Linked DNA regions of Oryzias latipes. The protein of the gene in region 1 interacts with the protein of each later gene in a biochemical or structural test. Links are inferred from orthologs where the notes say so. Each region holds a gene or a part of one and is shown in the gene's direction. Other genes may lie near its edges. The genes, in order: nfkb1 and map3k8.

Evidence for each region.
Region 2: the proteins of nfkb1 (region 1) and map3k8 form a complex in vitro, tested with the Homo sapiens proteins (2 studies listed by BioGRID and IntAct, with this or other methods). The link is inferred for Oryzias latipes from reciprocal best matches to the Homo sapiens genes NFKB1 and MAP3K8.

Annotation. Positions count from the first base shown.
Region 1 is NC_019868.2:30,825,249-30,829,720, forward strand, and holds the start of nfkb1 (nuclear factor NF-kappa-B p105 subunit), read left to right. Parts: upstream 1-1,405; 5' UTR 1,406-1,660; intron 1,661-2,566; exon of another isoform or gene 2,567-2,585; intron 2,586-4,472.
Region 2 is NC_019878.2:7,520,419-7,524,797, reverse strand, and holds the start of map3k8 (mitogen-activated protein kinase kinase kinase 8), read left to right. Parts: upstream 1-1,458; 5' UTR 1,459-1,623; intron 1,624-2,140; 5' UTR 2,141-2,167; coding exon 2,168-2,491; intron 2,492-2,575; coding exon 2,576-2,746; intron 2,747-3,252; coding exon 3,253-3,514; intron 3,515-4,227; coding exon 4,228-4,334; intron 4,335-4,379. Other genes in the region: mtpap (poly(A) RNA polymerase, mitochondrial), read right to left, coding at 1,031-1,181.

The DNA of each region.
Region 1 (4,472 bases):
GCTCATCTGTACAGGTCAGTCTCTCCCTCTTAAAGGCCCGTTCACACCGGGACGAATTTCGCCGGCGATTTTCGCCGACGTTTAACGCCTCGTGACTAAACAAAGGGCACCAATGTGAGTGTGCACACCGACGCGAAAAAACGCCAAGCGCCAAAGCGTCAAAAAAAAAAAACGCCTCGGGTTCGTTTTTTTTTTCCGACGCGTCTCGTCGAAATCTATTCGACCAATGAGAATGGCGCTTTTGCTCACGTGTCTGGAGCTTCTGAAGTTACAGTAAAACACAACTTGGGGGCGCTCAAACACAAAACTGCCTTGCTGAGCACACATACCAGCGAAGAAGTTAGACGCCAAGTAGCGTCAACACTGCCGCAAAGAAATAATGACGGACATTCTAAAATATCCCCTTACCAAGCACCAGTTGGAGCTACTGGTGCTTGAAATATTCATGTTTTCTTTGTATTATTCTGACTAGCGCGTAAATACTTGCTCTCTTTTTCAGAGTGAAAAGCGACTTTAAGAATCGTAAAGTTGCGCAGCGCCACCTTGTGTACAGGAGTATTTCTGTTTTACATTAAGCGCCATCTAACGTCAGGGAATGAAATTGCATGTTCGCTCGGCTCATCGTCAGCGAAAATCGCCTGGGTGTGAACACAAAAAACGTGGCGAAAAACGCTGGCGAATAACGCCTGGCGAATATTCGTCCCGGTGTGTACGGGCCTTTAGTCTGTAGAAACTCCTGCACCTCCTCATTCCACCACCAACTCTCCTGTCATCCTTCCGTCCTGATGACCAAGTACACTCCTACCTGCCTCATCTGGGAGTTTCTCCTGACCACCCAGAGCCTACATTACCTTTTCGTACAAATATCCTTCAGGGTTGAATCTGTTTCAGGAAAAGGTATTTTGCTTTACAGGCTTGTCTGGACATCATTTAAGCTGAAGATGTTTTCTCCTTTGAAACCTTCTTTGCTGTGGATCCATCCAGAATGAAGGAGAGTCCGCACAGATATTTAGTTTGTTCTTCCCCTCAGTAATCCTTACATTTTAAAAATATTCCCGGCTCACTGAAGATAAAAAATAAACCATTTAAGAACCTGAAATTAACACCATAGCTTAAATTCTATCCCGTCTATAAATATGGTTGGTGTGTTTTTAAAAAGGAAATCCTGATCTGTCTCTAACATTACATTCTTCCTCTTTCTGGATCCTGTTGATGGTTTCGGTTTGTCTTGTTGTTCTGGTTCTGTTTGTGGATCCTCCGCGCGTCTCTTTGGTTTGTGTCGCAGAAAAGTTTTTGGGGACATTTTCGCTTTTGCGCTCAGAGTGACACCTCCTCGTTTTACCGCGCTCTCTGTTTCCTTTTACGTCACGGGGAATTTCCAAGAGGAAGGAAGTTGCTTTATTCTCACTTTAGCGCGCGCCCTGTCACCTGCGCTCGCGCTCTCCAATACGTCACTCTCTCGCGCACATTTGTTTCTTCGTTTTAGCTGTTAGAAGCTGCAGGCACGCGCTCGTGTCGTGTGATGACGCATAGCCGTTAAAAAAGGCAGAAATTCGCTCCGACAGAATAATAAACAAAAAAAACAAAAAAATGAGCGAGAGCCCCTGAGGTGAAGCGGCACGAGAACCCTCACCTGCGGACGTTCACCTGAGCTGAACAGGTAAGAACCGGGTCAGAACAGACCACGCCACTTCCTTTCACTTCCTTGTTCTTCGGACATTCGTTTTCGCGCGCGGACTTTACCACAACAAAGAGGCAAAAAGTAGAAATACACTCATTTTATTCCAAGTTTATTGTGTTAATAAGGTGACGGTCGCGTGCTCGCGGCAGTACGGCAACAAAGACAAACCATAAAGAATCTGACCGGAAAACGTTCGGAAACGAGGGAACGTCGGCTCATGGCGGTTTAAGTTTAACACGTGGCGGAATCTCTGACTGTTTGGACCGGACCGTGAACGCAGCAGTCAGACTGGAAGAGCCCACGCACGGGCTCACCGTGGGACCGACAGCAAATGTGTAAATGTGTTCTAAAAGAACGTAAACAACGAGCCTCGCGGCGTTCAGGAGGCTGAGCGAGTTCCCGCGCAGCAGGCACGCGCACAATCAGATGTTCCTACCCAAATTCCGAAGTTGAAAAAAACGCTTTAATAATTGGCACGAAGGATGGGAACATTTTTGTTTTCATAAAAAAGTCCTGGACTATCCCCGCCCCCACCCATACTGTTTACAAATAGGCAGCTGGTTTGTTTATCTGCTGCTCTGTGTTGTTGTTGTTGTTGTTGTTGTTGTTGTTGCTTCGGTTTGAACTGCCAGACAGAACTTTGAGGGTTCTGTGTTATGGGAAGGTTGATTCAAACCTGTCGATGGTGACGGTTTCTGCCTCTTCAGTTTGGAGGAGGTTCTACTGTCATCATCATCACTTTCACAGATGTTCCTGCAATTAAAGAACAAACTGTTAGAACCTCGCTTAAGTTCTTGTCTCAGCAGCTTCTGGAATCACCAATGAGAACACGATGCAAAAGGTCATGAGACCTCCACATTGGCAGGTGAAGCATCTTCTTAACTTGTGGGTGTAGTCTCTGCAGGTAGGTGTAGTAGGGCGTCTGCGTGGATGTAATTGCTTCAGTAGGGCGTCTGCGTGGATGTAATTGCTTCAGTAAGGAGTCTGCATGGGTGTAGTCACGGCAGGAAGCCGTCTGCGTGGATGTAAGTGCTTCAGTTGGACGTCTGCGTGTAGTCACTGCAGGAAAGCGTCTGCATGGGTGTAGTACCACGGCTGTGTGGGTGTTATTGCTTCAGTTGGACCTCTGCGTGGGTGTAGTTGCATCAGTAAGGAGTCTGCGTGGGTGTAGTCACTGCAGGAAGGCGTCTGCTTGGTGTAGTACAGCGTCTGCCTGGATGTTATTGCTTTAGTAGGGCGTCTGCGTGGATGTAATTGCTTCAGTAAGGAGTCTGCATGGGTGTAGTCACGGCAGGAAGCCGTCTGCGTGGATGTAAGTGCTTCAGTTGGACGTCTGCGTGTAGTCACTGCAGGAAAGCGTCTGCATGGGTGTAGTACCACGGCTGTGTGGGTGTTATTGCTTCAGTTGGACCTCTGCGTGGGTGTAGTTGCATCAGTAAGGAGTCTGCGTGGGTGTAGTCGCATCAGTAAGGAGTCTGCGTGGGTGTAGTCGCATCAGTAAGGAGTCTGCGTGGGTGTAGTCGCATCAGTAAGGAGTATGCGTGGGTGTAGTCGCATCAGTAAGGAGTCTGCGTGGGTGTAGTCACATCAGTAAGGAGTCTGCGTGGGTGTAGTCACATCAGTAAGGAGTTCGCGTGGGTGTAGTACAGCGTCTGCGTGGATGTTATTGCTTTAGTAGGGAGTCTGCATGGGTGTAGTCACTGCAGGAAGGCGTCTGCGTGGTGTAGTACAGCGTCTGCGTGGATATTATTGCTTTAGTAGGGAGTCTGCGTGGGTGTGGTCACGGCAGGAAGTCGTATGCGTGGATGCAATTGCTTCAGTTGGACGTCTGCATGGGTGTAGTACCGCGTCTGCGTGGGTGTAGTCGCATCAGTAAGGAGTCCGCGTGGGTGTCGTCACTGCAGGAAGGCGTCTGCGTGGTGTAGTACAGCATCTGCGTGAATGTTATTGCTTTAGTGGGGAGTCTGCGTGGGTGTAGTCACGGCAGGAAGCCGTATGCGTGGATGTAATTGCTTCAGTTGGACGTGTGCGTGGGTGAAGTCGCATCAGTAAGGTGTCTGTGTGGGTGTAGTCACTGAAGGAAGGCGTTTGCATGGGTGTAGTCACTGCAGGAAGGCGTTTGCATGGGTGTAGTCACTGAAGGAAGGCGTCTGCATGGGTGTAGTACCGCGTCTGCGTGGGTGTAGTCGCATCAGTAAGGAGTCCGCGTCGGTTTAGTCACTGCAGGAAGGCGTCTGTGTGGTGTAGTACAGCGTCTGCGTGGATGTAATTGCTTCAGTTGGACGTCTGCGTGGGTGAAGTCGCATCAGTAAGGAGTCCGCGTAGGTGTAGTCACTGCAGGAAGGCGTCTGTGTGGTGTAGTACAGCGTCTGCGTGGATGTAATTGCTTCAGTTGGACCTCTGCGTGGGTGTAGTCGCATCAGTAAGGAGTTCGCCTGGGTGTAGTCACTGAAGGAAGGCGTCTGCATGGGTGTAGTACCGCGTCTGCGTGGGTGTAGTCGCATCAGTAAGGAGTCCGCGTCGGTGTAGTCACTGAAGGAAGGCGTTTGCATGGGTGTAGTCACTGCAGGAAGGCGTTTGCATGGGTGTAGTCACTGCAGGAAGGCGTTTGCATGGGTGTAGTCACTGAAGGAAGGCGTCTGCATGGGTGTAGTACCGCGTCTGCGTGGGTGTAGTCGCATCAGTAAGGAGTCCGCGTCGGTTTAGTCACTGCAGGAAGGCGTCTGTGTGGTGTAGTACAGCGTCTGCGTGGATGTAATTGCTTCAGTTGGACCTCTGCGTGGGTGTAGTC
Region 2 (4,379 bases), on another chromosome or scaffold:
ATAACCACCATTAAGCTACTTCATTCATATTTTTATTACAACATAGGATAATTGTTCAACTATACTTAACTAATTGCAGATTTCCTACAAAATGTATAGGAAATATCTAAATCTAAGAAATACCTAAAAAGCCCATCTGTCATATCTGAAATATGTTTTTGTTTTGTTTTTCTAATCTAGCAAGTTATGCTAAATGGAAACAAGTATGCCCTTCAGCAACCTTTAAACAAATTGTGACATAAATATGTTTGGATCTAGCACTGTCTATTTAAAAAGAGCTGAGGAGTTTGACCTAGTAATTTGGGTCTCATGCCAAAATTGTTATGCTGCAAAATGGTTGCAAACCTGATTTATTCACCACACATCCTTTCATGATTTGGGTTAGATATCGCTCTACCGTTCCAACCTTTCAGTGTATTAGTTTCAACCGTGACAGTGATGGTAAAAGTACAAGTAGAGGATTTATCAGTCTTCACCCAGTTTTCCTAAATTAACATGATTAAATCAGACCCAAACCAGGATGCCACCACCACCATGCTTAAATAGTGCTGCTGTGTTTTTGGTACTAGCATGTGAGGGTTTGGATCTTACTTTCACATTTGAACTAATTCCTTGTTTTAATAATATTGTTGCATTGCGTTTGTTTTGATAAAGTTCGTTTCCTTTTAACAAAGCTAATATTTCAGATTGTGTTTCTATGACAGTAAAGTTTGGTGCTTAGTGCACGTTTTGTTACTCATTCTGTTATCTGTACTTTTTTTTTTTTACAACTGACTGTACTGCCACATGTAATTCTGTAATCCCGCAAATCAACTTTTCTATCAGTCCTTTAAGACCGTCGTAATCCCGAATAATAGGTGTTATTCATCTTGTTATTTCAGATATTATTGTGATTAAAAACAAAGTCAACTTCGCCCACTGCCGCGTCTGTTTCATAAAACCTGAGCTTTTCTCTATGGAGTTCATACTGTCGCGGCATCTTTCAGGGCTAGCCTCCATGCTAACATGTTTCCAACTCCACGACACTCACCGTTTTCGTCTCTTCGAGCTGACTCCGTCCGTGCAGCAGTAGTGTTAGTTCCAACTCGTCTGTGGATAACCGTGTCGGTCCTCCGTGAGCATCTCAACAGGCTGGCTCTGCCCCAAACAGACAACCTGCACACGGGCAAGGAGGACGCCATGGCCTCCGGAGCGAAGCTGAAAGGCGCATGCGCACAAACTCATCTACGGCGAGTGAGAGAAGCCATGAAACAGCGCCACAAACCCCAAAAAACAAGTTTACAACTTTTTTTAAATTAAAAATAAAAATACAAAAAAAATGCATATTTTTTTAATTGAAGCATGATTACTCGTGTTTTATTAATTATTATTTTAACCTAGAAAAATGGGAAAGATAAAGAAAATAACAAAAATTTCCTTCTTAGGAAACAAGAAAAGGGAAAACGAAACCAAGACAGGGCAAAGCATTGGAGTCTGACATCACAGCACGAACCCACGCGCACCTCCATTGTGTTTACTTCCTTCTCTAAAGTAGTCAGCGGTCTCTCACGTCCGCCAGTTCGAATAGACAGCCGACGACAGCAGACAGACACGCATCATGGAGACGCTCTGAGAGAAACTACTGTGAGTTTTTGCCTGTTTCTTTTCTTTTTTTAAAAAAATTCTGTCATGTTTAAATAGCAGATACTCTTATTGTTGTGGACCATCATCATAAAAACCCATTTCTTAAACTTTTTTTTAAATTAATTACAACAACGCTATTATTATGTTTATAAAAGTTAAGACAGAATTGGCCTTAAAAAATTATAATTACATATATATCATTAAACTGATGTAACATTTTGTTTGTCACAACACAATTGAATGAAAAATGACTTAAATGAATGTTCATGTTTTTTGGAAAAACTTTCAAATACTAAGCATAGATAATCATAAACAGGAGTGAAGGTCCATGCTGGCCTGGGGTTTCCCAGCTTACATCTGCCTTTTTCCTTGAAAAACAGTGGTGTAAGCTCCACCCAGCTGCACTCAGCCTGTTGCAGCACAGCACAGAGCCTCAGAGTACTGGCTGCACATGCTGTAGCCCTGACTGCTCCCTTCTGTGCTAAAAATGGACTCTTGCTCTCCACTTTGACTTTAGGCTGAGAAGGACGAGCAGAGCATCAAAATGGATTACAAATACGACACTGGACTGGAACTGCTGCTGGCGCACATGAATGTAGAGGAAATCATCAACGCCGCAGAGACTCTTTATCAGCTTAGGGAGGAGGAAGAGGAGGGAGGCTTATCATTTGATGAAGAGGGTCTCTCCCAGGAGGAGATGGATGAGATCGAGGAGACAGAGGAGATGGTGGCTGAGCAGGAGGACGCGGTCAGCGGGGTTCGGTATGGGACAGTGCCAGACATCCTGGCCTTTGTAAACCTGCTATCCAGCATGCAGACGCCCCTCCTGCAACACCTGCCAAAGGAAATAGGAGTTCTCCTAAATAAGGTGATATTTCTTTTCTGTTAAAAGTAAAAACTGTATAACATTTCAAATGATTTGACTTTCGTAACCACTTTTCCTGCTTTACAGAAGGACATGGCTGTGAAAAAGGGCCGATACCAGATCAACATAGATGTGCTTTTGTTTGCTTGGAGGTTGACCTACAAGAATCCCGGCTCTGGCCTCGTGCCCAAGGGCTCATTTGGGAAAGTCCACTTGGCTCAGGACACCACCACTAGGAAGAGAATGGCTTGTAAGCTGGTGAGTTCTGCCTGAGGTGCACCTGCAACTGAGGCTCTCAGCTTCTCAAAACTCGGGTCCCCTGCTGAGAACGACCCGTGCAAGTACGGCTGCAAAGTTGCTCATGTGCACTCGACACATGACACTTGCAAAGTTTTCCTTTGTCCTAAAAGAGGAACAGTGCGCTGGAAAGAAGAACCAAGTTAACAAAAAAAAAAAGGGGGGTGAAGATTAAAGTAAGCAAGGAAATTCTGCGTTGCCCTTTTACAGCTGATCTGGGGTAAATTGCAGGAATTTCTCAGCTGTAGAGTTTAGAATGATTTTCAGCTATCATCAGAGTATAATTAAAGTGATTCCATTAAGATGCGAACTGGAATTAATTAATAGAATCCTAGCGTAAAACAAGAGCATGAAACGAAAATATGTTCTCAAAGAAAATGCAATAAAAAGACGACATAAAATTGTTCCTGTAATTTATTCAAAAATTGCTTTGATACTTTTCTAAACCCCACCCATTCTCCCCCCAGATCCCCTTGGAGAACTTTAAGGCGGCTGACGTAGAATTCCAGGCCCGCTTCCGCCACGACAACATCGCTGAGCTGTTCGGCGCTGTCCTCTGGGACCAGACGGTCCACCTGTTCATGGAGGCGGGAGAAGGAGGCTCCGTCCTGGAGAAGCTGGACAGCTGTGGGCCCATGAGGGAGTTTGAGATCATTTGGGTGGCCAAGCAGGTTCTGCGGGGTCTGGAGTACCTGCACTCGCACAACGTCATCCACCACGACATCAAGCGTGAGTATGCAACACTTTGCTAAAATGTCAATGGACCTCCTGCAGGCCGAGGAGCAGGAAGCCGTCATTTTGCTTGAGCATTCCTTACGTCAGAGGCAAACCGCTAAAGGATGTCGTTTGGGGAAACAATAGTGGAGCACAAGAAGGAGTGATTCACGTAAAACAACCACAAACCATTGACATTCGACTGACTTGATAGTATTATTTAAAAAAAAAACCTACTCATATCAACATTTTGCTGCCGTATGACATTGTGTTTCTAGGCTTCTATCATTGCCCCATTCTTTGATGCAGCTTAGAGCAAAGCATGTCAGTGATCAAAGCCAGAACGGTCTTGCCACAGAGTGGAAATTCCAGGCTTCAAGCTGCTCTTTTGCTGTTTAAGTCTGGGAGTAGCAGCATTGTGCCTCATGCGTGGTTAGTGGTGTTTGTCAACACAAGGCTCTGACAGCATGATCAGGCTGTTGCCGGGAAAGGGCTTTCCCTCACCCTGAGCCCTTTGCTTACACACCCAGTGGCCTGACCCCGTTAGGCCTTGACATCTTTGAAGGTTTCGTGGCCTTTGCTTTGTTACAATCAAAACAAGCTCAGGAGGGGGAGGGGCTGAAAACTACAAACCTGAAAACTCTAAATGCCATCGGCTGCAGCAGAAATTCCTCAAGTTGCTTAGACGGTGTCTTCGAGTCGGTAATTTGTGGTCTCTGTCACTTCAGCCAGCAACATCGTCCTGATGTCAGACAAGGCCGTGCTGGTGGACTTTGGTTTGGCGGTGCAGATGACGGAGGACGTCTACAGTCCAAGAGACCTCAGAGGAACAGAGGTAAGAAAACTAGACACATGCACTCATTTAACGAGTCAGCAGACT